Linked DNA regions of Drosophila melanogaster. Changing the gene in region 1 together with any one later gene gives a genetic interaction. Each region holds a gene or a part of one and is shown in the gene's direction. Other genes may lie near its edges. The genes, in order: brk, ey and shn.

Region 1 (10,370 bases):
CATTCGAAGGAAAAGCATAAGAGTGTGCAATATTCAGTCATCAGCACATGATCTTCGTGATTTTCACAGCCCAGGAGACTTTAAAAAGGAGACCAAACTACATCGTTTGTGCGCCGACTGAGAAGCTTACTAATCTCATTAGTGAAAATAATATATTTCACACTCAAAAGCTTTAGTTACTAGCCGTAAAACATTGCGATAAAGAGCTATTAAAAGCCTAGATGGCAGCTAGACTTTCCAATAGACGTAATCATCATAGCATTTCAAAACATTGTACAAAAAATGATTAGTTTTAGCTTTTTTATCAAGCTAATCAGTTATTTTTAAAAATGTTTACTCTTTTTACATTCCAGCATTTTGATATAAATTTATCAGAATGCTCAAGAGACGTGTTCCAAGTCAAGATGGCTTGCTAAGAGTGCAAGAGTGGAACCTGCACTTTGCAACAACTATTCGTACGTACATACTATATCATTTAGGCCTTCAACTGATATAATTTAGCACTTGTACAATGTTTTCCTGGATCTAGTTTTTGTTCGCCGCCCGAAACGTGATCGACCCACGTGGGATCGGTGGGGGCACTGGCGAATAGGGTTTATTCGAGGGGTGACGTACCCCCAAAGCCCCATAAAGATACCGAAGTGGTCAGTGGCGAAGAGATTGCAGCAGGGGCCCCCAACCGATAACCCGGGGGCACTACGTGTTCGGATAGATAGTGCCGACATGAGTGTGCGGCCGTACATATATACATACATACATATACACATAAATAAATACCCCGTGTATTCACGATTCCGATTGTGGATGCCACTACATACATATATATATAGTGCACTTTGTAATTGCTCGAGCCCCATTGCGTCGAAAATTGTTTACAGAATCGACTTTTATTGGCCGACAAATAGAACTTGGCACTTGGATCGCCTTTGTTTGATCTTATCACCTGATAAGACTCATATGTACCTATATTTTTTGTTCTCTTTCCGTTTAGTCATAGGCTAAATGAGTATGCCTGCCTTCATAGTTGAGGAATTTACAGTTTGTTTTTTTTCTTATTTTAATTCGGTGCAGATGCATAAGAAGGTGCACAAGGTGTGGGTATAAACCACAAGAGATGTCATACGATTTCTTGGGAAGATAGAAGACTGTCCAAAAATAATAGTTAAGAGCACAAACTTTGAACTTTCGATCGTATCCTGAACACATTCAAAGGACAATATCCAGAATTTCTTTCCTTCCGACTATATCCTGAACATAGATTACAAGATGATCTTTTTAATGCTAGGATACGCAAAGCGTCATATCTTTCAAGAGTTTAGATTGGTATAGTTTTCGGTATCCTGGCATTTGTGCTTCATCTTCTTGGGGCTCCATCTTGCGATTCTTCAGTCTTCAAGCGCTCGTTCTCCTCTCCTTGCCACATCTCTCTCCTTGTTTCATTTTTAGTCTGTTTGTTTGTGTGGGCTTATTCAAACGCAGACAGCGCGGCGGCAGCGTCGATGAAAAAAAGCAACCTAAGGTTCTTCTACTCCTACCACTCGTCTTCCGTCTCCGCCACCGCCGTCTTCACCTCCATCTCCTGCCCATTCTCGACGAGATTGGAGATCATAAGTGCCCCAGCACGTCGTTCTCCTTCTTTTCCTTTTTCGTCGGCTGCCGCGCCCTTTCCCTTTCCCAATTTTTTTATACTTCTTTTTTTTTTCTTCAACTTTTTAATCAATTCATGGGTATGGGTGGATGTGTGTATAGGTTTCTTCGATTTTTACGTTACCTTTTTATATTCAATTTTTATCTCTTTGCCTTCGTCTTTTCCGCTTCTTTTTTTTTGTTTTGTTTTTGATAAATCGATTTAGAAGCCGACGGGGTCTAAATAAAAAAAAAAGTGGAATTCTTTTGATTTTTCTGTGCCAGTGTGTGTGTTGCTTTTGAACTTTTTGTCGTTTGAATTTTTCGGGCCGAGTGTGTGTGCGTTTTTTCGGCATATTTTTGGGTTGTTTGTGGCCGCTTTACTTGGAAATGCAATTCCAAAATGTATTTCTCTCGCCTTTTTTAAAGGGTTTTATCTTTGGCGTCTTACAGATTTTTTCAAAATTTCTATTAATTTTTAATATTAATATTGTATGATATTTGTTAGTAATATCTATTGTTTTTAAATCTTTTTAGTTGTTGAATTTTAAGTAATTTTTCAATTTATTACTTTGGAACTTAACTTTTTTTTTAGTTTAGTTTAGTTTTTAGGTTTAAGTTCGTTACCGATTTTAGAGCTCCTTTTAAGCCCTTTTTTGTCAGTGCATCGAAGTTTATTTCTCGCTGTTCTTCCCGCTTGTTGTATTTCTTTTTTTTCTTGTGCAGGCGCTTCGCAGGCTCCATCTTGTCTTGCCGTCCCTTTCCAGCTTCCTTGATCTTTCCAGACAGTCCGTCGTCGGCTTTTGATTCGTGGGCACAGTGGGACGGTGGCGGGGGCGGCGGTTTGGGATTGGGTACAGTGGGGCGGGGGCAGCAGAGACGTGGGAATCTGAACCCCAGATATCTATGTATAGTTGTTGCTTTTTTTCTTTTGCTGGTTTTTGTTATTTTTTTTGTAAGAGGTACATAGGTGACTCAAAGATCGCTAGTCCTTTCCCTTTCCCACTTCATCTTACCATACCGCACGCGCAAATTGATGCTCAACAACAACACCATATATTTGATTTGTTTTATGTCATTTTTTCTATTTTTATTTTCATAAATTTGCATACACACGCAAGCGAAGCAGCCCACTGTCTCCGACAAAAAAAAATCACGCACACACAGAACCACACACGCATGCAAATAGCGAAAGAGAGCGAGGTGTCTGCGGCAGTGTGTGTGTGTGTTTCATTCATGAATCCAGATTTTGCCGAGGCAGGAGAACAGAAGAAGCAGAGTAAGCTGGTAACGAAGCAGAGGCAGCATTTCGGTTTGTCATTTGCAACAAGTGCGGAGAGGTTCTCTTGTACACATATTGTTGCTGCACTTATTGCATGCCCTTTTAGTTCTTTTTCGTTGCATTGTTTTATTTTTTCAATTTTTCTAAGCTTAGACAGAACGGCGGCAACGTCGACAGAAATAAGCTAAAGCTATATGGTATATATGCACCCACGGCCATAACAACGAGTAAAAAAAAAACCAAGATAGTTGGAAACCTCTGTGTTCGTCTGGCTCTATGTGTGTGTAAAAATATAAAAAATGCAGCAATGCATTCAACAGTTGATTCAAGAGAGAGCAAAAGGAAGAGAGAGAGCGGGCGGTTTGGTTGGCGAGAGAGCGGCGCTCAACAAGTTCGTTCGACGATCTGTTGCGCGGTTTCTACGGATGTGTGTGTGTATGCTGACGGGGGACGTGGGCACAGGGGTGTGGGTCAAAAGGGGTGGGGGGCTCTGGCCGATGTGGAAGGGGTATGGGGGAGGGCGGCGTGTGGAGTGGCAGTGCCAGAATGTCTGGCAGCCACGACTCTGGCGCACACACGCACACCATTCAAAGGTGCCTTTTGCACACGTGTGTGTGCGTGTGTGTATCTGTATGAGCAACTGGCAGAGCCAGCGAATTTGTAGCGCAGCCAGAAACAACAACACAACGCAACACGGCAACAGCAACCGCAGCCGCTAACAAACTGTGCTGCGACACAGTGGCACAAAAAGCTGCCAGCAAAGGGTTAAGTGTGGGCCTACTAATACATGTAAAAAACTAATTTTTGTAAACAGAATTTAAAAATGGTTTCCAAGTAGTGCGAACATTTGTCGACTTTGGGTTTATGTTTAAAACAATAATCTGTTGTTGGCAGATAGCTAACAATGTTTTAGAGATAGAAGAATTTGAAACGCGTTTCACTTATTGACTCGATGGCCTATAAATTGATAAAGGGTTTTTTAATTATTAAAGAAGAAGAAAATGTGTTATATTATCTCGCTGTTAAAAATGTTATCTTTTGATTTGTTCTATTCCATGTTTTTAGGTATCATATAATATTTTTTTTATTTTTTATATAAAAAAAAGCCATACGAATTGGTCCCACTGTGCGGTTCGCGGTGTTTGTCAGTTAGTCAGTCAGTCGGGTGACTGTGGCAATCGAAAAGAGTGGACAAAGACTGTGGCGCACAGGGACGGGGGAATGGGTTGCTCCGTCCCATGTTGTCCATTCGGTCCCACCGTGCACACAACTCAGCACAGCACGGCACAGCAGCAACAAAAGCGCCGCAAAAGGGAACTGGTATTATGGCATCCCGCTCGCACTTGCACTCCAAGCACGCACACATGCAAGCGCAGACACCTCGCGACACGATTGTCGTCAGTTTGTCTGCAATGCTCAGCTTCAGCGCCATGCGCTCTCTCTCTGTTGCTCGCTCTCTAGCTCCCCCTCTCACTCTCTCTCCCACTGCTGCACGCACACGAACACCCACACGAACAGCAGCAACAACAACAGCAGCGCACAGCAGACAGGCAGGCACTTTACGCCTGTGTGCGTGAGCATTTCAGAGTGAACCGCAGTCGACGGCGGCGCCGGCAGCGACGCCGGCCGAGGCGAGGCAGTCTAGAACGTATCTTCGAACTAGAACGCCGAGGGCAGAACAATTGTGTTTTGGATTCCTTGCCGTGCGGATCGCAAACGCGAGTTATGAGAAGAGCGTAGTAAAACGTACGAGAAGTAGCTAACAAGAAAAGGAAAAGAGCAGAAGAAGCAACAGCACGCAGACATATATTTTTTTTAACTGTGTTTTATTTATCCGATCTATACCAATCGAAATATACACAACTATATAGATTTGAAACGGATTTTGAAAAGTGCTTTCAAATAAACTCCAAAAAGTATCAGAGCGAGTGTGTGCCAGTGTGTGTATGTGAGACGCGTCGCAGTCGACGTCGCTGCTTTGGGGACAGAGCTGCCAGATCGCGAGTTATGAAAGCGCAAGCGTCGCACGCAAGTAGCAACAACAGCTACAACAAAAGCACCTAAAACTTACTACCTACTACTACTGCAAAACACACTTGTTTGACTATTATTTCGCTACATTAAAATCAACAAAAATACACACAAAACTGACCAGAATCTTGGGAAAATAAAAACAATCTTTAAAGAACGCCACGAAAATAAACCATAATCATGGATAGCAGCAGCGAACAGTTGAACGGATCGGGAGCTTTGAATTTCAAGCGGCCCAAGGATTCTTCGGAGAATGCCACAAACAGCCACACAAATAATGGCAATTCTTCGGGCAGCCCCAAAATGGGAAGTCGTCGGATTTTCACGCCCCACTTTAAGCTGCAAGTCCTCGAATCATACAGGAATGATAATGATTGCAAGGGCAATCAACGGGCCACGGCCAGGAAATACAACATTCACCGCCGGCAAATCCAAAAATGGTTGCAATGCGAGTCAAATTTGCGATCATCGGTGGCCAACAATCAGCAACAGCAGCAGCAGCAGCAACAGCAACAGCAGCAACAACAGCAGCAGCAGCAACTACTCCCACAGCAATCGGTATCGCCGACACCGGCGGTCAAGGTGTTCCATCAGCTGAGCCATCCGCTGGTGCACCAGTTGCATCACCATCACGCCGCCGCGGTGGGTCATCATCATCATCATGCCGCCCACCATCATGCCGCCCATCATCATCACGCTGCAGCAGCAGCGGCGGCAGCAGCAGCGGCAGCAGCAGCAGCAGCAGCCCACCATCATGCCGCCCACCATTTGCTGGCAGCCAATGGCATGGTTCCACACCCCCTGGCCGCCCATCCCCACTTGCATGTCCCGGTGGCAATGCATCCTCAAATGCAGCATCAGAAGGAGCAACAGCAGCAGCAGCAGCAGTTGCAGCAGGAGCAGCAGCAACAGGATCAGCAGCAGTCACAGCAGGAGACACCTGCAACCATTGCTACCAATGGCAGCAATCAGGGATCCTCGAATGTCCTTTCGGCGGCCAAAATAGCCGCTGTTGTTGCCGCCGCCATGGCCACCAGCAATGGCAATCCCACACCGACAGCAACAATCCCCGCCAGCAGCAGCAGCAGCAGCAACACATTGCCGAGCAGCAATAACAGTAGTTGCCACAACAGCAGCAGCAGCAGCAATAGCTGCAACAGCAACCAAGTGCCAATACAAGTGCCAATCCTGAGCGGATCCCCTGGGTCCACATCGTCAGCCAGTCACATTCCACATGTGCCCTTTGCCTACCATCACAATCTGCATGGCTATTTGGAGAATCGACTGGAGGCGGTTGCCACACCAGCCCCCATGGACCTCTCTCTCGGATCCTCTGCCCGCCGTCAAATGCAGTTGCACGAAAAGGATCCATCTGGTGTGGATCTCACTTTCCGCAAACGTAAGGTCATCACTAGTCCGATGCAGCCGGATAAGATTAGTAAGCTGGAGGAGGTGATCAAGAAGGAGCCCGAAACGGAAACGGAGAACGAGGATGTGGAGGTGGACGTGGAGACGGAGCAGCCGGAGGAGCACAAGCTGCCCTCTAAACAGGTCAAGCTATTTAAGCCCTATTTGCTGGACGATGATGAGGAGCAGGATCATCATCATCATCACCATCACCATCGGCAGGAGGATTTGGATGAGGGAGCTGCCGAGGAGGAGCAGGACGACGAGGAAGAGTCCCGCTATGCCGACGATGATGAGGTGGACTCCAAGGAGGCGGCCGACAAGAAACAGCGTCGCCTCAAGAAAAAGCCATCGGCAATCAACGAACAAAGGGAACCCATCATCTGGAGCAACCATCCGTATCCCGGTGGCTGTGTATCGCCCGGCAGTTCGATCACCAGCAGCTTTCAGTGCCCCACCAGTATGCAACAGCAGCAGACATTTCCCGTCGCCGGCGGGAGTCCTAATCAGCAATTTCAGGACAACTGCAGCTCCAGCAAAGCCACCACGCCCCTCAGCCCATTCTCGGCGCCCGCCCTCTCGCCCACCGGCTTCTGTTGCCCCAAAGGATCGCCCGTTTCCGGTTACGAGAGCAGCTCATCCACCTACAGCGACAGCGGCAGCAACTACAGCCTCAATCTCCAGCTGCATGCCGTCTACAACGACAATCTGATGTACATGCAACAGCAGCAGCAGCAGCAGCAACAGCAGCATCACCTGCAACATCAGCAGCACCTGCAGCGCTGGCTGGATCAGGAGTCCTTGGCCACTGCGAGGACATCATCCGTCAACCGACCACTGATTCTCGTGGCGGATACTGCGCCCACAAACCTGACCCTGGTGGCCTAAGAACACACACACACACACACACACACACACACACAACAAACAACACACACAATAGAAACTAAGGAAGCAGCAATCCCACCAATCGGATGTTATAATGGCAGTCACTGGGCCTGGCCTTTTAGTTCCCTAAGCCATATTTAAGCTTAATAACGTTTTTTTTAGCCCTACCACCTAAGTTTACCTTAATAAAAAATTGTATATCTAAGCGCAAACATATATCTTCCAAGCATATCAGCAAAAAAAACCCCAAACCCTAGGTATAAACCCTTCTTTTTTTTTTGGTTACACACTAAGAACAAATTAAGCTTAAGTTCAGATTTTTCTTTTTTTTTTTCTTGTATTAGCTTGTGTAAATAATTGTGTACAAAAAGTGAAACAAGGCGAAACAATTGAATTTGCTTAAGAATTTCAACGCTTCATTTCATTTGTATAACTTGTGGGAGAGTATTTTAAGAGAGAAAATGTGAAAAATGCAACTGGAAAAACTGAGAAAATTGTTAAGAGTAAAGCTTTAAAAACGAAACAAATACACACCTTTACAATACACACTTTTTTTATTTGGAAATTGAAAATTGAAAATTCTTGTGATATGACAACAACAAAACAAAATTTTAATAAAATTGTTGAAAACTGAAGCTTATTGAATATACAGCTATATTATACATAAATATATATTTACAAACACAAAAGAGAGCAAGAAATTTAACGTAATATTAAGGGTTACATTTAAAAGTTAATTATAATGATATACAATATACATATATACAATATATTTATATACAAACAAGAGGAGAACGTTTTTTTTTTTTTTTCATTGCCAAGGGAAATATTAAATGCGCCTATACATAGAGAAAGAGATATATATATCTAAATGTATGTATATATATAAAATCAGTATTTTTATATATTACATTTGACAACAACAATAATAATAATAATAATTGTGTGACCATACAACAAACAAACAACAAAATCAAAAGGAAAACGAATTGATTAAATTAACAACAGAAAACTAAAAAAACTTTAAATTAAACTGGTTTTATCATTGCATTTGCGTTGGGTTTCGAATGAAGTCATTGCTTTTCAGATGACTGCAAATATTTCAGGGATCTATCTATAAGATCTTTTTTGGTTTCTGGGTTCAAAAAAAAAAAAAATCAATATCAATACACCCCCGCCGCATCAATTGGGATAATCTAGATTCGAGAAAAATCGACCTGCCTTTAGCTCCGCAATTCTTCTTAGCTGTCAGTGTGAGGTTAAGGCCCCATTTATAGAACCGATCGCCGTTTGATCTTTGCGATCATACCGAATGTGCCATTCAAATGTGTGTGCGTTATTTGCGTGCCTCATTGTGACAACTCATGGGTTGTCAGTCAGTCAGTCAGTCAGTCACTCAAGTCAGGGCATAGCTTAAGGCTTTGGGGCTTTCCATTTCGAGTGCCTGTGCCACGCCCCCTGCCCCCCCCCCCCCCCATCCCCTACGCACAGACTAGACCACCCACCGCCCTCCGCGAGCTACTCGGTTTCTGGTCAAATTCGCTTGGCACATTTCAACGGCGGGGTATGACTAAGCCGCAAATTCTATAATGATCGTATTTTTAAAACGTTTAAAAATAAAGTGCTCTCGTTTGCCAATGTGTGCGCCAATCACGAGCCCCGAGCCGCAGCATTCAGCACCACTGCGATCCACAGCCACATCCACATCAGCATTAGCATCAGCATCAGCATCAGCACCACCGCAACTGCCACAGACGGCAGCTATCGTATCGTATCGTATCGGATCGGATCGGATTGGATCGGTTTGGGGGATCGGTTCTTGAGACAGAGCGGCATACTCATTGTTTTTCACTTGACGCGCTTTCCCTTCTGCAGAGCAAAAGGCAAATCCGAGCGATCGCTGCCAAAGAATTTTTGCGACATTTGCGGACAAAATAGACCCCACGGGATACCCACTAGTCATGCACAAGGCGAAAAATATTCCACTACTTTATGAAAAGTAATATTCATAGACACTAGCTGCCATTAAATGAACAAGGTATACTCTCTTGTATACCATAATGTTCTTATCACTTAGCCAACATTTGTTGCATCGCATTTTTTTTTCTCTGTGTACAAAAGGGTGGAGACTGTGCTGGCAGATCGGAACTGTTGGCATCTATGCGATTTGATCGTTCAGGTGATCGTTCCCACGTAGTCAAGTCCAACTAGGGACGTAGTTAAGTGGAAGGGATGAGGAACAAAAGAAATAGGAACGGGGAATCAATTCGGGAGGAGTGGACAACAGCTAGATCAACACAAAAGTCAAAAGAACACAACGAAATGGAACACTAAATCAGATTAGGAAGTACCAACAGTACCAAAGTTTACTTAGTCTATAACAGTACAGTTATATAATCTTTAATCTATGAAAGATAAGAGGTGTTCAAGAAGTTGAAACTAGAAACTATGGAGAAGAATCAATGGAAAAGATCAGAAACGCAAGGATGAGAACCAATAACCACAAATAGGACCACCAAACAAACTATGGTAAGGTACGACGAAAATGGCTAAGATCAGGGGCCAGAATCCCCAAGAGGAGCGTACATATGTACGTATGTATGTATGTCGAGGTGGGGTCCATTGGTACCGGGAAACTGTGGGAGGAGCGACCGCAGATGATTGCTAAATTTCAATTTATTTTCGTGCTATTTTCTTCGAACCGCGTTGCCCCGTGTAAACTTTTGCTCGCTTTTCTTTTACCATCCAAAAATATGTGGTTTTTGTTGCTGCCTTTAATGCCACGTGACAAATTTCGATCGTTCGGACGTAACAAAAAAAAAAAAAATATATATATATATATATATTTTGATTTGCAGCCAGCCAAGTTTTACAAAGTAAATAGGGGAAGAAGACACTGGCACATAGCAAAGCAGCAGAATTCACCTGAGTCCCGAGACTCGAATCACGAATCTCGAGTACTTTGCAGATGGCGATCGTCTCTGGCAGATATCACTATACATACATATATACGCTTATATATTGTTTGTTATTGATCAAGCGAGTTTTGCGCACCGTGTGATGTTGTAATCACAGGAACGAATCTCGCGCGATCCCATCGACAATCGTGACATAATCTCTTATATGAATACTCGTA
Region 2 (10,370 bases), on another chromosome or scaffold:
GGCCCGAAAAACATTAAAAAACTAAACAAAAACAATTCAAATTTCAAAAGTGCGGGCGTGGGGTTATGGGTTATGGGGTTATGTTGACATGGGTAAACAAACTTGAGCTGCGTCTATGTCTCTGGAATCTGCAAGTCAACTCTATAGCTTTATTAGTTCCTGAGATCGCGGCGTTCATATGGTTAGACGGACGAACAGACGAACATGTTCATATTGACTCGGCTATTGATACTGATCAATAATATATATACTTTATATGGTCGGAAACGCTCTCTTCTATTTGCTACATAATCTTCAAAGCATAAAATAATAATAATGGGTGTAATAATGGTTTTTTATTTTGGCAAGCCAATTTATAGTGAATTATTAAAAATTATAAACTGCAGTCAATAAAGTAACATTGCTTGTTATTTAAGAAATCGCAGGCCTTATGACTAGTCAAGAATTTAATATATTTAAAGGTCTCAACCCCAGGATTCAGGAACTTCTCCCAGTGAACCCCACTAGTTTGGTACTAAAGGCATTACCGTAAGACGCTTATATCGACTCCTCTTTGTTATTTCCAGTTTGGGCAGATCGAACACTTTGATCTTCCTTGTTGGGCCTCACAGCGGGAAAAAAAAAGTTGCTTTGCATGGGTTTAGGGAACTTTACAACTGTTCGATCACGATCTTTGCAGTGCAACCCCTAGGAGCCAAGTCGGGAAGCGGGTTAGCCGGTCTGCTATCGATTCTCGTGTGAACACATGCAATTATGGTTTTATTTGTATTATTCGTAGTTTGCATTTACAAGTTTTTGTTTGTTTTCAAAATAGAACCTTAAGTTTGAAATTTTCATGATCATGAGAAGCTATTGTTCGTGAAAGCCCAACAGCGTGGCAACCCTAATTGTTTTGTAAAAAGAAATATAAAACATTTAAAGGCATGTGAATGTTGGAAGAAACCACTATTCATTTTGATACCGAATAAGTACATTTTATATAGTTCAAATAAATATAAAACAACGTCCTGTATCAAACCAAAATTCACAAAAAGTTTTAATTTTATGATCCCCAAAAATGTATATTTGGGAATGTCTTCTTATGAAACCCCATCAGCCACAATTGTCTAAACTTGTACTTCAGTTGAGCTCCTAGTGGGAGTTCAAAGCAGAAATTTCCATATTTCTTTTTGTCAAATCGATAGAAAGCAGCTAGACAATAAGGAAATACGTTTTAATATTTTTAAAAAGTGTACGTATGCATGCTTTGTCTCAAATTTCTGGCCTTGATAGTTAGTTACTGAAATCTCAAAGTTTACACGGCTGGACTGACATAAGTACGGATAGGCGGACGTGGCCTAGTAGACTCGTTTTGTGATCGTGAAATATGTGAATAAAAAGAAAAAATCGCTTTTTTTTATCTATTGCGAACTTAAAGAATATAGTCTAGCTGGGCACTCTACGGGTAAGGGGCTTACATTTATCGCTGTTAAGGACGCAGTTATTTCAAGTTTTATAATTGTGCTATATTTACGCTCGGGATGGATGAGAAGCACTTGATATGGCTGAGCAAGGCCACTGGGCACTAGCAAAAACTTCCAACCACTTTACTTTGTTAAATTTGATTTTAATCCGCTGATAATATTTTAAGACTTTCTCTTTCGCTCGGTTGAATTTAATGCGATTTAATCACACCGTATACAAAGAGTGTACATCAATTTTCGTTCCAGGAGGAAAAAGGTGGCGTGCTAAAAAATAACTTAAATCGTAAAGGCGATATCGTAACCAATTTAAATGTTTAACCTTTTATGAAATACTTTAAGAAATATCAAAAATTAAACTTTACGAGTAACGGGTATAAAGCAAAAGGAACACACTCCACATTGCGTATTGTATAGATATTCTGATTATACGCATTAGATTGGTTGAACTGTCTGCAACAGGAAGAAGGAAGGGCGCTTGCACTATATAGCGTTATAGCGTGCTACTATATTCTGGTCGGACGGACATCATCCTTCCGTACGAAGATCGAAATCTCGGGAACAATAAAAGGTATGAGGTGGGATTGTTTATGCATATTCCAGAGGCGGACACAGCGGACATTTGATTCTTGATGTCGCTACGCTCACAAACAACCCAAGTTTTTTTTTATTACTTTATTTCTATTGGCATACCAAAAACATACCAAAACTGTCACGCCCACACGTTGCAATTTTTAAACATTTTTTATTTTATATTTTTTTTATGAAAATCGCATTGAATTTATTATTAGTTACTCCGACAGAACACTGTGCCTCTATCTTGAAGGGGAATAATATGAAATCACGGCTCCAATGTTTCAAGCTCAGCATGGTTTCCTTAATTACGAATGAGCTTTGTACACAGTACCACCTGTAGGGTATTGTCACTCGAAGTACTTTTCGTCCAGTTAAGTGATAGTCGGAAACTTCAGGCAATGGGTGTGCGTGGTCGGTGGTCGGGCGCGAAAGGCGCGGACACGGAATGTTCATAATAATTGAAGCATATTTACAGTGGCTGCCTCTTTCAGAAAGGGCGTATGTGAACCCCCCGTGAGCGTGAAGCACCCACACCAAAAGCTTGCCTTCTAGGGATTCCCCTTGGGCCCTTTCCAAAAGCCTTTTCCATGTTTGTATTTGGTTGGTTGGCCAAATGCTTCGCTGGTCATCTCCAGGCCGGGTATGGTTCGGTTTTCAGTGAGCCGTGTCTGGGGCTGCCTTAATTGTTTAATGGCTCGTTATTTGAATTCCCAGCGGGGGACCTTTTATACGTTCGTGCTAGCTAGTAATTTCAAGTGATAATTGTAGCGTTTTATTACGGATTAAGCAAATTTCGTGAAAAATATATCTATATTTCATGGTCAATGTCACATTGAAGATCAGCAGTAAATCATTTAGTAACTGCTTAAATTACATGGTCGACCCTATAGTCTATACATATTCAGGGTTACGATCACGAGCCAAAAGTCCCTGCTCTCAAATGAATGCATTTTTTCAAGTCGAAAACCAAATAAAAATCTTTCATTTATATTTTTTAAAACTTACAAATTAAATAACATATTACGTAGATTCTTTAACTCTTTTTTTTTTTTGTAAAAGGATAGCTTGACTTGACTTTTTATACCTAGGGTGTTTTGACCTTCCTTGTTCAAATTAAAACTCTTCTCAAGAAACTGAGTCTTGTGACAGATTGTGGACTAACTTGCGGAGGTCCTTATTGAATTTTCTACGAACTTTGGCGATATAACAGCTAGACGCCCCTTTTCTCGTTCCCCACCCCTAAATACCATTGCGTGGCCGTGTGAAGTCTTGCGGACAGACGATAAGAAGAACGACGCTTTTTTATGTCAGCACAAAAGCAACTGTTGCCGCACACACACTGGCTGTATGTAATAGCCATCTGGATTGGGTATTTTTCATCATCTTAAATCTAAATTGGTGGTGGTGGAAGAAATGGGAGAGGTGGTATGTCGTTTCTTTGGTGAGTGGGAAGCTATTAGCCTTCTTTCTTCTTAATTGTATAAGCTAAATACTAAAGCTCGTTATGGGCCGCGTTTTCATTAAAACATTACGCGTTAAGCCGAAAAAAGCTTGTTTGGCCAAAAACGTCAGTTTTAAGCAAGAGTCTATACTATAGCTGAGTTCCTCGACTCTTAGGTTCCCGTTACTAGATATGCAAAAGGAAAGGCGGCAGTTATATTGTTAACAGGGCCACTTAATACATTTCATATCAGATATTTTCGTTGACGGTGGTAACAGATAGATAAGATTTTGTACTCAAATGAGCGAATTGAGAATTAAGTAAATACATACATATGCTTTTATATAACTATTGTAGCTAATCTTTTCGCCCACCCAGCCATCTGTCCGATTCTACTCATATGCTATGTTTGTTATCGCGGTACTCACAAAACAGTCAGAAAGAACTCTATAGTGCCTATATCTTAATATACCCTTGGAGACATTTTGCCCGCAAATGTATTATTGATACCCGCCTACCCAGACTTCCATCCCGTTAACAGCATATATATGTAAGTACATGTATTCCAGATCTCGATCACTTACTGAATCGACGACCTAGCCAATCTCCAAACGAAGAGTTTTTTATTGGCGATTCTTGCTATTATTAATATATGGGTGTCGAAACCCTCGGAGGCGGTCTGCATCTGAAGCAGACTAAGCCGAAACGGAACAACTTTTTGCTCCACGAGCATGTGCCGTGTCGTTGGCACGTGCCACGTGGCGATTGCTTGGGCTGCGTTCCATCCTCAGCACCAGTGCGAAGATAATATGATGATAGCAGGGCTGATTCAGCTTCCTGCGGGGGACATACTTTCATGTGCTACCATGTAGCCTAATAAAAACATTTGTTTCCTCCACCTTTAGGCGTTTTATGATGTAATCTGTGCATATTAAATCTTGAATATTATAAAGGGATATGGCAATCGGATCAAATGAAAATGATTCAGTCTTACCTGTAATAATAAAAATTACATGTGCGAAAGTAAGTTCAAACATTTTATAGTCAATGAAACGCCCAGTAAGTTAAGTATTTAGAACAGTTGCGCGCCTAACATTCTCACATATATTCAGATATCGATCGTGCGTGCATTTTATTCATAAAAATGTCAACGGGCTTGGTTAAATTGTTTAGTGATTGCTAATGTTTTTAAAATATGTCAAATATTTCAACCCCAATTCTTTCAGATTTGCTACAAATTTCGACAGAACAAAATTAAATATTATAAATACAATGTAGAACTATTGCAAGGGTACATTAAAAACATTCTGGAAGTGACTTAGAAGTAATATGCATTATTATTACATTTCACTTTTCAGAAGTCATAAGGACGTTATAAACCGTGTGAGAAGAACTCTTCGCATTGGAGAGCCCAATTGTATTGGAAACAGAAAAATTGGCCGGATATTGCTGTTGAATTTTGTGAATTGCACTTAAATCGACATTATCCCATACAGTCGTGTAGGTGCGCTATAGTTTTTTAATATTTCTCTAGAGGATTTTGAAACATGGCCTTTTAGCCATAACACTGGCCGTCCCTTTCAGGCTATTGGCAACTCGTTCTCTCGCTGTGCGGCGCAAAAGCAGGACAGGAACTTCCTCTTTGGGGCCCACCCAGCCTCCACATGTGACGACAGCTTATGGGATGGTGGCTGGTGGGTGTGACCGTGCTTAGGCTTGTCGACATTTTACTAAACAACCGTACGCCCACACCCAGCTCCCCTCGATATGGCTGTGTGTGTAGGCTCGCACTGCCGAAGCGGAAACGTGCGGGTAGTTAACGGAAATGTGAAGCGCTTATTGTATCGGAATGAAACAATTCCATTGGACGAGTGTGCTGCTGGCAACTTGTCTGGCCAGCTTGAATTCAAATGGAATGCAACATGTGTGTAATTGCTGGGGGGGGGGGGGGTGTGGCACTGGGCGACTTCTCGAAAGGCGGTGAAAGCGGCAGGCGCTGCACCGTTTACACACAGTTTCTTGCTGGAAGGAACAACATCCAGTTCCAGACCAGCACTTTCATGTCTGTTCAGGACCAAACCATTCCATTATGTGCTGCTGGTCCGTCTAGAGTTGGTTCTTCCTTTATTTTCAGATTCCGTTGCCACGATATGCTTAACGACACAACGCAGCTGCAGAACTGCACCGTGCCGAATCGCTTTCATCTTCCGCCAACTAACCTTACACGGGTGCGAGAGGGACAACTGGTGTGCTTCAACAACCAATCATGGGGCTAGCCTATAGCAAATGGTGGTGAGTGGACCAGCCATGCTGGTCTTTGCCAATCGCACGCGGTTCCGTGGCAACAAACCCAGCCTTTTGCGCAGGGGGGTGCTGGCCAGCCGAGGGTCGGCCTAGTCTGTTTCTGAAACGGATCCGGGTAGGCAGGTCGTGACATTATTATTTCGTGTTGCGCTTCTAAGGTAAATACTGTTCCGCCGCCGTGTCGCGAAGTTTAAGAAAGGTTGTTCGATTCACCGTGCGTATTAATCTTTATATCAAATGAAATTACCGGCTAAGTTAGCAATCGGTAGACCCGGGAATAATACGTGTTACGTGCAGTACAAATATGATGCTAACATGAGTGCAATCAAAAGTGGCGTTCGAAAAATGAACAAGTGAACTAAAACAAAAGCGGCTGCTCAGTTATATTTGTGTTTCCGAATTCGTAACTCTTAGGTCCTCACGGCGCGATCAACAATAGGTTTTTTGATCACTGCAGGACGTCATTCTCACCATCTGCGCAAATTTACTCTTAACTCTTGCTTGACTCGCCCTGCAAGAGTTCGCACGGCGTGCGTTTGGCTGAACACAGCAGTCTCTTGGCTAAAGCTTTCATGAGCAGTGCATGTAATAAAAACTGAGATCCAACTATGTTTACATTGCAACCAACTCCAACTGCTATAGGCACCGTGGTTCCCCCATGGTCAGCGGGAACATTGATAGAGCGCCTGCCGTCTTTAGAAGACATGGCTCACAAGGGTAAGTGAATTTTTTAAATTTCTTGATTGGCATCATCGTCTTTATCCGACCCTCTTATAAATATATATGAGTCTTAGCCAACACATATGTTAATGCTGCCCATGGGCAGTTGATCCGGTCCTACTAGGCGAGTGCAGTTTCGTTCGGCTGTTGGTCTCTTTTGGCGCAGTTTACCAATAGATAAAAAGCTTCTGAACTGAATCGTTTGCGAACTCTTCTCTCAAACTCAAACTCCCGAGAGTAAGACGGCTTTATACTCCGTATAAATTGTCCAAATCAAAGATATTCAAATCTTCGCCGTGACTCTTATAATTCGAAAAACCTATATTTGTATTATACCCGTAGCTTGTTGCTAATTTGTATTTAAAGTAGTTAGTGGAAGGAAGAGTTCCCGGCTAGTCGATTTTCCGATGACCGTTGGCATGTCTGTCCGTCAGTATTGACGTCGAGACCTTTGGAAGCGAAATAAGTAGGAATTATGCAAATTCCAGTAATGCATACGCAGCTTAATTTTATATTAAACCATTGTCACTCACTCACATTGTAAATTACAACGCAAAGGCGTTTAATGATCAATGGCGTTCCTACGGGCGTATCTCATGCTATCCCGCGCGTATATGATTATTGAGTACTTCATACTAGCTGACTCTTTCGTTTTATACAAATTTGTATACTCGTTACTCATAGATTAAAGGGTTATTAGATTTTTTAAATTTAAAGTATATATATTCTTGATCATGGTCAATCGGTCAATCTAGCCATGTCCGTCTAGCCATGTCCGTCTGCATGGACGTCGAGTTCTTAGGAACTATAAGAGCCAAAAGATTGCAATTTCTCGTTCACACATGCAGCCCAATTACGGGTATTTGATAGTCAATAAACCGGACTATAGCTCTCTTTCTCCTGTTTTAGCTCATAACGCTAACTGAAAAAGATTAAGCGCCTCCTTCTAAAAGCCCCATAAACGGCCCAAGTAGTCTATGGTATATATTCGTTCATACTGGGAACTTTTTAAACTAGTTCTTTTAAGTAATAGCTTAGGTCAAAAGTGATATTCTAGTTGAATTCTTTAACCATTTGGTTGTATACCTAGCTATGATTTATCCGTTTGTATTCTTCACGACTACCTTCTGCACGCAAGTTGCGAAGTCTTTTCCTGCAAGGTTTAAAACTATGCGGCTTACTGCTGAAATCGAAATTAGTTTGATTACTTTTAATACATTTTTTTGCACTTTTATCTCGCAATAAAATGATAACCCAAATACATAGCTTATGTTTTTGGGTTTCAGTTTAATTAAAACAATTAGGTAATCCTGATTTTTCAATTCGTTGCAGGTATAATATATTACAAAAAATAATTCGAATCGAACTATGACCTGAAATTTTATATTGCCAAAAAAAGTAGAGTATACCGAATTTAATTAATACATATAACTGATATATGTAAGAAAATATGTAACTAACAATGTAATGAAATAATTCTAATTCCTATGCAATCTGGCTCAACTTCTTAACTGAAATAAGAGAAAATGTTATAGTAGAGTTTCTCGATCAAACACAGGTCTAATTTAAAATTTGCAGTATTTTAGTTCCCGAATTCAGAGTGTTTAATAATGCATGTTCTTTAGAGACTAGGACAAAAAATCTGCAGAGTGTTCGGCAACTTTTGCAGTAGATTTCAGATTATAGATAGATTACAAAGAGAATAAATAAAACAAAAGAGAATGCTTTAGTCGAGTTCCGACTATCAGATACCCTTCACTTCGCTAGTGGGAATGCAAACGGAATGCAAATATATATGCGGGAATAAAATGAGAAAATATTTAAAAATGGTTTGAAAGTGTGGGTGTGGCAGTTTAGGGCGGTTTTAGTGCGTTTGAGTGGGTATTCTGTATTCTGTATGCCTCTGTATGAGATCTGGACGTTCATACGGACGGACATGGCCAGAATGACTTAGCTTTGATCCTGATCAAAAATATATATACTTTATGTGGTCGAAACGCTTCCTTCTACCTGTTACACACTTTTGAACGAATCTAGTATACCCTTTTACTCTACAAGTACTAGTACTTAAAATATGTTACATTTTTATAAACACTTAAGCAAGTTCAAAGTTGGTTCAAATTTAAAGATCTATTCCACTATTATTATAAATGAATTCCAAGTACAAACTGACTTCTTGATACGAATTTTACTCCTTTGATTTTCTTTTTTATAGACAATGTGATTGCAATGAGAAATTTACCCTGTTTGGGTACCGCTGGTGGTAGCGGACTAGGCGGTATTGCTGGGAAACCTTCCCCTACTATGGAAGCCGTGGAAGCCAGCACAGCGTCACATCCCCATTCGACATCTTCATACTTCGCCACAACTTACTACCATTTAACCGATGATGAATGTACGTTTTAATAAATAACGCATAGCTAAACCCCTCCCGCTTTCACTCGATTTCAGATAGCCCCGATTATAATACTATTATATCACATTCACCAATAGATTAAAATTTATACACACAGACCGTCTTTACATAAACTAAATATGAATACACCATTAATAGATTTTATTGAGTCTAACCGATCCATAAGCTTTGCAAATTTAGTGTGTAATCGCAGTTTCTTGCACTAAATACCAGTTAGGATAGATAACAGATATGTATTTTGATTCTGCCCTATGTTGGGGGCTACTATAAACTTCAAATCGACTTTGGTGTTCTGTTTCTAAAAACATTACCGAGAGTAGTTTGGCGTTCAGAAAATGTCCAAGGACATTTTTGTATTCATAGTTCACTTTATTTATTTCTAACATCTATTAATACACCGCAAGTATTATAAATTAAGAGCTTGTTATTCGTTATATTATCAAAAGCTTTTTAATAACAACAGAAATGGTTTTACCGTACGACGAACCTTAGTTTATAGATATACAATTCACTTTTAGAGAAAAAGTGTGTAACACGAAGAAGGTGGATTTTCCGAACCAATAAAGTATTTACATTCTTGATCAGAATGTTCGTCCGTATACGCGATTAGATATCGGAAACTAAAAAACCTAAATGTTTTATCCAGTTATATTAAGACTTAAAGAACAGCTCTTTTACTGATATAGGATGAGGTGAATAATTATAGTATTTCCAATTTATTATAATTTTCCACTGCAAAATCACTAGGTATACCTATTTCATAGCTCGACCCGAGAAGATTAAGGAAACATTTCAAAATACTTGTATGAAGACATCGCGCTAATTTTTTTGTATTGCTAAACATGTGTCACGAAGATTTGTTATTGGTGTGAAAACAGCTCAATGTCTGGGTAAGCCCAAAGCATACAGCTGAATGGAATGGCATTGTTCAGTAGCTGACTCCAAATCTCGCACATGCTGCCAATTATAGTGGCACAATGGGTAGAGGTGATCATCGGTGACAATTGGGATCGGCATAGACTTTCAAGACGGTGATGAGTCAAACAATAATTTACGAATTGCGGAGTAGATTATAGGCATTCCTCAAATCCCTTTTCTAAACGTAACCTCATCCCGGGCCCGTCGAGCTGTTAAGTACTCTCTGTCAGGTCACCCTATTGTAGTGCCCGTGAATCAATACAATAATTTTCCAGCTTTAATGATCTTGAAGTGTGTGTTCGTTGTCGACGACCGTTTCGTGTAAAGTCGCTACAAATGGAAACAATTAATGGCTCTGAAAGCCGAAGTCGAGTAAATACAAACACACACAATGCACTCAAAAATGCCAAATGAGCCTCTTTAGCGGCTGCCGGGAACCGACGCATATTGGCATTGTATCCGTGGTCTTTGTAGACTCACCCCGCTGTTCTGTCCATTTTCGCATGCGAGGAAAATCAGTCCCTGCCCCTGAATG
Region 3 (10,370 bases), on another chromosome or scaffold:
CCTCGAAAATTGTTTATTGTTTACTTTTTGCACTCAACGTCTTGTTGAAAAGCAACCAGCCGTATCAATAATGCGAGAACGGTAGGAGATGCTAAGTGTTTCTCAGAAGGGCAGAGAAGTTATTTATTTAACTGGTACCGGAACAATATCGGAACATTCCCACTGCTCTACATTTTTTTATGATTTTCACAAATGCAGCATTAAATTGGGATTGGCGGTTGTCTTTGTGGCATTTAATTCTGCTTTCATGCAAAGAGGGAGGTTTTCTCTTCATCAAGAGGATCGATTACACGAAATCAAAGCAATCGCATTAGGTGTTTTTTCGTTTCATCTGTGGATTATTTCAACTTGACGAAATTATTCGAAATGGCTTGCTGTTTAAAACATGTGCGAAATGCTCAACTCTAACTTTTTAGCCATGAATGAGCGTTTATATTTCTCAACCTAACCATTAACATTTGATTTATTTAGTTCCATTATAAAGGCTTATATTACTTGATTACTTGTCGGTGGCCCAATATTTATGCAATGCCATGTTCGTAGCGCTAAAACTGATTACTCACTGCTGTCAATCGTGTAGTCGTGGAAATTTGGTGGCTTGCCCAGCGGGATGGCCACTAATGAGACAAATCCCTTCGATGGCCTTTGTTCGTTGCGAAAGATTCGTTGACGGAAACCAATCATTGAACCTAACCGACAGCAGTTGAAGTCCTTGTGGCCTGGTTAATTAACTTCGGGCCACTGTCGTCATAAATTGCACCCCTGTCCCAAAGTCTAATGCCCGAATTTAAGGCACATAAATTGGGATTTATGTGGGCGAAAGGCAGCATTGTTTGGCCAGAGAGTTTTTCGTAAGTGAGAGCATCTCATGCAAGCATTACTTATTTAATTTAGACTATGCCCCTTGGTAATTGACGATAATGAAGTCGCTGGATGGACAACAGAGCTTCCAGGCCAGTTCTGCTTTTATTATGCAACATTAAAATGCCACATGGCGTGCCGCAAGGCTCGACTTATTAAAAAACATCCAACAGGGATGTCACCTCATGCTGGTGTCTCAATGATTTTCAGTATGGAATGGAATGGCTGGCGCCATTGTGTGTGGCAGAAAGGAAGACCATTTCCACTACCGAATTGTGTGGTTTTTTTTTTTACCAATTTTTCATCTACGTTTAATTTATTCTTTTATGTCCCGAGCGTGTTGCTTTTGATGTGCCCACAATGTCGGCGCCGCAAGTTTTGCAACCGACATACATAAATAAAACTTAAGCATTCCACAAGCGGCAGCCACATTGAGTGTGATCCATGTGCTCGTTTCATCCTGTTGAGTGCGGCTTGGGTTTTTGGACGGGTTTGCGTTGGCTGATGCGGTTGGACATCAATTTCCTATTGTGGTAGGATTTCCGCTTTCAGATTGATATTTTGTGTTCGCCCGAATTCCCATTTGGCCCAAAGCGTGGTCAAGTACTACACCCACACACACACACACACACACGCACACAAAGAAAGCCAAACTTAGCCGGGGGCATCGCATTCAGACTCCTCGGGAACGCCATTCGTTATGCATATGATCAATTAAATACAGAACATTTAACAGCAGCCATTTTTGTGTGGTCCGAAATACGGAACTAGAATAGTTTACCGCCATTTACCGAAACATAAAAGGTCATGGCGAACAATGAATTTCCTATTTTACTACTTTTAATCAATGGGATAAGGGAAAATAATGCTTGTTCATTCGCAGCGCTGGAAGTTCAAAAACGTCTATTATAATTATTAAAATCAAATGATTTTTGGGCCACCGTAAACGTAATAAAACGTAATAATTATTTTTGCAAAATACAGAGCTGAATATTAAAATGTTTCCTTTATCTTTTTGCCAAATTTCCATAATGAAAGATACCTTGCCATTTCACAAATTCAAGATCATACAATACAAAATAGCCTGAAACCAAATCGCAGTACAATGAAATCGTGGAATTAAATAAAAAGCCGTCCTATATTCAAATTATACGCTATTTACCCTTTTGTTTCACCCCAGTAACCAAAGATAAAAGGTTACGAAAAAATTTCGTCATTGAACTGAATTATTTTGTTTACCAACCTAAAAGAATTCCGATACAAAAATTACAATATACAAATTAATGTCATATTTGAGAACAAAGGCGTAAAAATAATTAGTAACATCAAACGAACAATCATCAATCAAATTAAATAGATTCCCAGGAAAAAAAAACTCTTTTAATATCAAATAAAACAACATATTTCTGAAACCCTTTTCCACTCAAATTGAAGGTATGAATAATATTTCTTTTTTTTTGCGCCAGTTTTTCATTCAGACACCCGTTGCGGTTTCTTTTGTTCATTTTATGGAAATTAAAATTGATGATATTTAAATTTGGTGATAATTGAACATTATTTTTATGGCACTCACATTTGCGTTTTATTTCTTTTGCTGGCTTATTTGGTTGGAATGGTTCTGTTTAGATAGAAGAATAGAAGTATGTAGCAAACACACTTTTTTGAAACGATGTGTGGAATTTTTATGAGGCAGCTTGTAAATAATTTTTTTTTTTTCTTCAATTTTGTTACTTTCGTTTTTCAACTGGATTTCCCTGACTTTTCAACAGACCGGTCTGTTTGATCCGCACTGTGATCCTTTCACGCGCTCTGTTATTTTCCGACTGCAAGTGAAATTCCGACGGACGTTTTTCATTTGGCGCCAAAGTGTTCGGCACCACGAATTTCCCCTCCTTCCAGCTTCCAGTTTCGAACTGCTTTCGCACTGGAACTGGAAGGCCTTCTAGCCGGGCGAACATACACACGCACACGAACAATTTCCAATTGGGCGCCTGCGCCAATTGTAAACAAAGAACAGCTGTTCGAACATAGTACATATATTCGTTTTCATTGACGATGGAGCATAGTATAACACAGGGGGGGGGGGGTGCAGGGGGGTTAACTCTGAACATAAGGATGAGTGATGTGATTAGGGTGGTCACGCGTGCGGCTCTAATAAATATCAATGATTTGTGAAAATTCTTAAAAGAAACAAACCACATTTATTGAAAGTCGTTTAGGCCAAACATCGTATATCTTCCCATATGAATTTAAATTGAAGGGCGGCCGTTGGCGTTTTGGGGCTGGCAAATGAGGCTCAAGGCCACGCCTTTTACTTGTCACTTTGGCTGGGAATTCTCACAGCTGTCAGCCAAAATCCCATCCACTTGACATCGCCATCGCCAATGTTCTGCGATATGTTCTTCTTTTCTTCACATATGTACATATTTTCGCCAGCACTTAATTTCCTTTGAAGCCGCATTATTTCAGCCTTTCGACACCAGGCGTTACGAGGCGTTGCGGCTCGAACAGCTTTCGACTGGGCCCAAAGTGTCTGCCTTAAATGAATCGGAAACATTAATGGCTGTATCAAAGAATAGGACGCCTTCATTTAAACGTCTTCATTTAATTCATCGAATTTGCTATTTTTATGCATATGAATATTAAATTAAGTCGAAACATTACTATCATTGGAATGGATACGATTCTATGTGCAGTAATTAAAATGTGTTTCAACAGAGTACATATCTTAGAATCAAACTTCATCTATAATTTAGAATAATTTTTAAACCATGAATTAAATGTTTATCTTCGTTATTTTCGCTGCGAGTTGCAGCAGCTAGTTTATAAGGTTTGTGTGTTCGTCCCACCAAGTTTATGATTATTAAAATATATTATAATGACATGTTTATATTTTTAGCAACTCCTTATAATTAATTTATCAAATCGCCTAAATCAATGCTTTTCCACTGAAGCACCATGTTGTTTTTTGATATTGCATACATTTAGGCTTAGAAAAGTATTACCTTTTTATCAATTGTGTGGATAATCTTAAAAATGTAAATTAGCAAACTGATAAAACAGACAACCCAGGTATTATCACAGCGCAGGTAAGCCAAGTAAATAACGCTTATCATCTGGAGCTCCTGCTATTGGCATTTAAGCTTTGGACACACACACACACACACAATACTGATAAGGCGACTCTCTTAGCGAACTCTCTTCGCTGCTCTGTGAGTGGGAAAAGAAAAAAGGTAAACAGACAAGTTGAAAGGCGATTTTCGATTGAAACGAAACGGCTGGTCGAATTGAAAGCCACTTACGTCGCTCTTTGGCTCTCTCATTTGTGCGCCAAAAGAGAGCTCACTTTGGGTGTGCTCTTGGCGTTCGGGCTTTTGGCTTTGGCTTTGGCTTTTGGGGGCCTAACGGATTCTCGCTGGCTCTGTTTGTCCGTGAACGCCGACGTCGACGCACGCCTCTCGTTTTCGCGCGCTTCTCGCACTTCTCGGTAAATGCGCAAAAAAGCCAGCAACGAAATCAAATCAAGTCAAATCGCAACGCATGGTGAATAACATGTCCGTTTTATTAATAGATTCCGCAACAGCCATATAGCGCATATTTCGAAAGAGATATATAATATATATGAAATAAAGTGAGGCCCTCGGATGAAACAGTGTTGATAAGGAGTGTACATACATACACACACGCAGCACATAAAACTGAAAGAATTCGCGGCGCGCGCGATTTAGTTGCGAATATTGCGTATACGCAGGGTCTGTCAAAAGTAATACAAATCAAACAAAACCTACCACAACAAAAATAAGGAACGGCATATCAAACCGAACATTTCCGAATTGAGGTTTTTTTTACACAGCGAGCAGAGGATACGCCTACATGGATTTATATAGCACAATTACAGCAACCAAGGATACTGAGACTTGGGCAGGATAGCAGCGATGCCAGCCAGCGGGTTGCAATCTCCACCAGGTCGACAGGCAAGCGGCATATCAGGATAATACCAGGGACTTGGACATCATGGCTCCTCTATTTGTCTAGTTGGCAAATACCAGCGAACCGGGAACCAGGCCACACACACACACACCCATACACTCGCTTACACACACAAACACACACACACGCGCGCGCTCATACGCTCAGACAAACAAGGACGCTTGTCATTGTGTGCGTCAAGGACGTCGACACACGTACAAGCTTTGTTGCTGTTGTGCCATACAAACAGACCAGAACCAGTGTCGCAAGTGGGCGTGCCAGCGGGTAGGCGGCCTCTGATTAAATATACATCAGTCAAGCGCAAGGATCCTAATTTCCAGCAGTATTGTTCTGTGCAAAAGGACAACGGGACAGCGGACAGCGGACAGCGCCAAAACGGGACACCAACTTTGAAGCAGGGAAAATGGCGCGACGCAAGGGCAGCGGTCGAGGCAGTAAGTACATTTTCCTGTTAATTATTCAAATCAAGCGTGAGTTCGAAAATATGCCAGCGAAATTCCGGGAAATTGCCTCTTCTCAAGGATTTTAAGCTATTTTGCAAACGTTTCCATAAAGTGTTTACAAGGAAAAGGGACCCAATATCCACAATTTCTATGCTGACTTTTCTTTGGAATCTTTATATTTAGTGGTTCTATTATAAGATCGAACTTTGACTGCTTTGTTCTTGATAACAAATTCACTCCAAGTAGTTTGTTGATTATTAAAAGAACTCCAGCGGTCTTAAAAAAATTGGGCTTCAGCTCAAGGACGACGAGTTTCACAGCTGCCATATGGCAAGACAGTAAGTCCTTGCTTCAGAGCTTCAAAGAATCTCGTCAAGTGCAGTGATTTTTTCTTGGCGGCTCAAAGGGAAAAATATGTAATTAAGAATGTATGTAGTATTCAGCCACGCCCCCACTCGAAACCTCTGGCTGTATCTATAAGATATATATTTTTTTGCATTATTATTTGTGTGCCATGAGTGCTCCACTCGCAAGAGAGAGAGAGAGAGAGAGGGACGGGGCGAGAGCAAAGAGAGGGAGGGCATGCATAAAACATGAAACAACAGCGTCAGTAGTCACTTTTCATTGCATTGCGCCCACGCCCAACCACCCACAGTCCCCTTATCATTTTAATTCAGTTGCGTTGGCGCGCGCGCTGCAAAATGTTGGGGATTCCCTTACGTAATCCCCCAGCGCACACAAAAGGCAAACAAACAAACAGGCACACAAACAAACGCACACTCACAGGGCAGCGGCAAACAAAACAAAAACACAAACGAAATGGGCAAAAGAAAGGGGGAAAAACAGAGAGCTGAAATAAAGGAAAACAGAAAGCGGGTGAAAAGCAGAGAAGCTGAAAAACAGAAGAAAAAAAAAACGTAAAAACAGACGCAAACAAGGCAGCTTGTTTGCCAGCCAGTCGCAATCGGAATTGCCCCATGTAAAATGGTCTGAAAATCAAGCTCAGCCAGCGTCATGAACTTTTGGCGCAGCTCACCCGCTCAACAGGCAGCCTAGCTCACAGATACGCAGATACAAAGATACAGATACAAAAGGCGCACAGTCACAGATACTCGACTTGCACATCCACAATCGCTATAGCCGAGATACTTTGCGTCACGTCACGCCGCCTGTTAGTCAAGTTGCTCTGTGCGCTGCGTTACTCATGCCACAATTTGAACCTATTAAAAAGCCAGATACTTTCTTGTGCCCGCCCCAACCCGCGACATCCGCAGATACTTTTGCCAAATGAGATACAAGTGTGCTGCCTGGCTTTTGATATATGCCAAGTACTGCTCGCTGGGCGGATACAGTGCGCATTCCATCAGCTGCAGCTAAATGCTTTAAATGAATTTACTTTTCATTTCAAAACCAAACCGACTAGGCAACCAGTAATTGAATATATTCAATCCGATCAATCACTTTTTTTTTATTGAACTTGATTTAATTAATATGTCACAACGTGAGCGTTTTATTTCGCCTTTTGAAACAATAAACCAGTAATTAAATATAACATTCTTAAATAAATATATTAAAACTATTTTATAGCATTTTAAACCAATTATGCTGAAATGTTATAAATATTTATATTCGAAATATTATTGTTTTAATAACAATAATAACAACTTAACTTTTTAAACAATGTTGTTGAGACTTTAACTCAACCATTTTGTTTTGTAAACCATGACCAATTGAAAATACTTGGCAACTTGGAGAGAGATTATTTGAAATACTTCTTAAATATATTTCAAAATCATCAAACCTTTAACATGAAAGTCGTCCTTCCATGGAGTACCCACTGTAGCAGGCGCAACATGCTCAAAGAGTTTGGCTCCAACTTGACTTCCAGCTGCCGATGGGTTTTGGTTTTGGTATGCAGACGACTTTGGGTATGGGTTTGAGTATGGTTGGGGGAATGGGAATAGGAATGGGTATGGGTTTGGGTTTTGAGTTTGAGTTTGATCTTTGAGGTTGGGTAGCTGGGCCGAAACACTTAAGCTGGCTTTGGCTTTGTCTTTGTCTTTGACTTTGCCTTTGCGTTGCCAGCGAGTTGGCCGTAATCTCTTTTCGCCTTCGTCTAACGACGTCAAAATTAAAATAGACTTTGCTCAGGGTTCTCGGAACCGTACTCGCATTGCCTTTTGCCTTGGCTCTGGGCCATTGTGCGGATAATTTATGGCGGGGGACTAGAGACCAGGGAATGGAAATGGAAATGGAAATGGAGTTGGGTGAGGAAATCCCACCCACTCCCTGCGGCTGGCATTTCCCCGCACTTTTATTTGAGAGTATTTTCATTCCATCGCTACCTTTGTTTCTGTTTCCCTTTGGCAACTTTGCTTGGCCCGTTCGCATTCCATTTTCCTTTTCGAATGAAAAAGAAAAGCCTTTAGTTTGCGTAGTTTTTGCCATTCAAGAGGGGTTGCTTTTCATTATGGCAGCCAGGAAGGAAGTGATGCAGGGCGTGGGCTTCGTGTTTGGAGTCCTCTCAAGTGCTAGCTAGTAACTGCCTATGTAGGTCTAGGTGTGGCCTAAACGAAGCCCATATCCATTTGATGATTGCTCTGATTCCGTTTGTAGCTCGGGATTAACTGGTTGGGTTAGAAGGGAAAGCTCTATTTGGCTTCAAATTGAAATCGTTTCAATAGATTGATTCCTTTGTGTTTAAAGATTATTATCCTTATTAATTATTAAATGATTCATGAACTTAACATTATAGCTTTTATGGTATAGTTATTTACTAACCTGGCTTAATCCAATACAATTTACAAAAATCAGGCAACAATCCCTAAACGAATACAATTTCCTGAGTCACAGTTTACCCAATCTGCCAAATTGGTTAGCCCCTTCTTTTTTGGGCCATATCATAGCCGTAAACAAACACTACACTTCAACTTTTCCTGGGACGCCTTTTAGGCCACGCCCAGAAAATTCTCTCTTCTGTCACCGCCCCCTCTCGACCACTAAAAAGGTCATGGCAGCGGGGAGGGCAACAAAAAGAACCAAAAAATTACAAAAAAACGGGAAGGAAAACAAGGAAAGCAGCGAAAATAAAAAGGGAAATAAATAAACGTGAACTGAAATCCAGGGCCCAACTTTACCTATGAGTTTGAGCAAAAATAAAACCCCATACCTGTAGCAAAAGGACCTGGCACACCGAACGAAAAACGTACATACTTACAAACAAACGTATGTATTTGCAGGGCAATGGCAAACAGCAAAAAAAAAATAAAAACAAGAAATTAAGGGAAAAGTTGGCAGCTGGCAAAAAAAAAGAAGGGAAAAACAAGGCAGAACTCATGTGCGTGTGTGTGTGTGTGTGTGAGTGTGCTGGCAAGCCTCTTCATCACCCAAATACATGCACACCACCCACACATTCAAGGCAAGTCTATGAAAGCGCAGGGCTTCCCCAAATGATAAAGTTTTATTTGCTTTTGCGGGCGCACATTGGATTCTTTTTTTTTTCAGCCACTGCTTTTTTCTTTTTTTTGTTTTTGTATATTTTGTGGGGCAGCTGGCAGCAGAGAAGCCGGCGTCGCCGTCGACGCCAGCAGCACTTCACCACAATAAAACGAACATTGAACGATGATGATGACGCCGAAGATGGGGCGTTGGGGGTGGTGGTGGTGTTGGTTATGGGGATGATGACGTTGCCACAGAAAGGCGAACATTAAACCAAGTCAACCAACCACTCGGGAATTGGCCAAGATGAAGCGAGCTGAGGATACCCCATAAAATGTGATACATTTTAGCATTCTTATAGTATATCAACTAATTTATAAATTATCCTGTGAATTCCAACAAACAGGCTTAATTATTCCTGTTGGGCTAATAAAATGTTAAGTATTGAAAACTGATAGTATATCCATATTCTTATGGTTCAAACTTTAGTCTGAGAATCTATTTTTTTGCTGCCCACTTATGGATAGTAATTACTTAGAGAACTTGCTTTATTCCCTAGCCACGTTGATAATACCCGTTTTTAGAAACTCTGCTGGGTAGCGACGAGCTTAACACAAATGAGTAGGCAACCAATGAGTGAGATAGAGCGTCACGGAGTGAAAGAGAAGGTGCGATGGGAAAATGGTGGAAAATGTTGGAAAAAAAAAAGGGGGGGGGGGTGTGACAAGGAAACGTGAGCTTGGCCCCCTTAACAACCCGATGTGTCATGGGTGCGAGCCTTGTTGGCTTGACTATGGCCAATGTAAGTTGCTGCTGCACTGAAAGCAAAAGTAGAATACTAAATGACTAAAATTATCTTAAAAGGTGTATAAAAATAGGCAATGGTTTCTGAAATATTCGAATTATACAGTTCATGCAGTTCAAAGGTCAAATTAACAATTTCAATATATTGTAAAACTTTTCAAACCGTTTCAAACCTACTCGAACTATTTAAAGCAAAAGCTTATGAGTGCTTAAGATTCCTTTTGGTTTATGTGATTTTCGTAGAAAGTAGTTCCTTATTAAGTAAAAATTGTTCCTTATTAAGTTCCTTATTAAGTATTAATGAACTCGACTAATTTCTCTCCGTGTACGAGGTTGTTGCTGTGGCTGAAAGCAGTTCACTAGCAACAACAAGGGCCACAGCAACAGTGAGTGAGTGACGGCAACGACCGTGAAAGGCCATTTGCCTTCCACTTCAACCCTCCGCTCCATTTTCGACCCACAATGGTTGTGCTAAACACACTGTATTCTGTGTGTGTGAGTGAGTGAGTGTGGCAAGGATAACCTAATACAATTTTTGTTTTTGTTGCCTAAGGACGTGCCGGAATTCGTTCGTGTATCTCTCTCGATTGCTTCGTCATGGGGCTGCGGTGCTGGATGATGACCTCCCTGATGTTCCCGCATCCTAAAGCCGCCAAAGTGGCGTTTCCTACGTCAGCTGCCTGGATTGGCGACCCTTTCTATTGAAACAGCTGGCTGGAAAGCATTTCCCTTGTAATTGAAGTGCATAATTTATAAAGTATTGCCATTCTTGGGCGAACGGCAGCTGCGGCTGAATAGTCAGCGAAATATTAAAGCAAACTCGCCTGGTTAATT

The links.
Region 2: of brk (region 1) and ey, changing one suppresses a phenotype caused by changing the other (phenotypic suppression), as found in Drosophila melanogaster (one study listed by BioGRID).
Region 3: of brk (region 1) and shn, changing one suppresses a phenotype caused by changing the other (phenotypic suppression), as found in Drosophila melanogaster (3 studies listed by BioGRID).

What each region holds. Positions count from the first base shown.
Region 1 is NC_004354.4:7,303,354-7,313,723, forward strand, and holds brk (brinker), read left to right. Parts: upstream 1-4,585; 5' UTR 4,586-5,119; coding exon 5,120-7,234; 3' UTR 7,235-7,779; downstream 7,780-10,370.
Region 2 is NC_004353.4:698,776-709,145, forward strand, and holds the start of ey (eyeless), read left to right. Parts: upstream 1-5,875; 5' UTR 5,876-6,389; coding exon 6,390-6,498; intron 6,499-8,653; exon of another isoform or gene 8,654-8,716; coding exon 8,717-8,896; intron 8,897-10,370. UniProt on the Drosophila melanogaster protein: Involved in eye morphogenesis.
Region 3 is NT_033778.4:11,169,521-11,179,890, forward strand, and holds the start of shn (schnurri), read left to right. Parts: upstream 1-4,282; 5' UTR 4,283-5,254; coding exon 5,255-5,285; intron 5,286-10,370.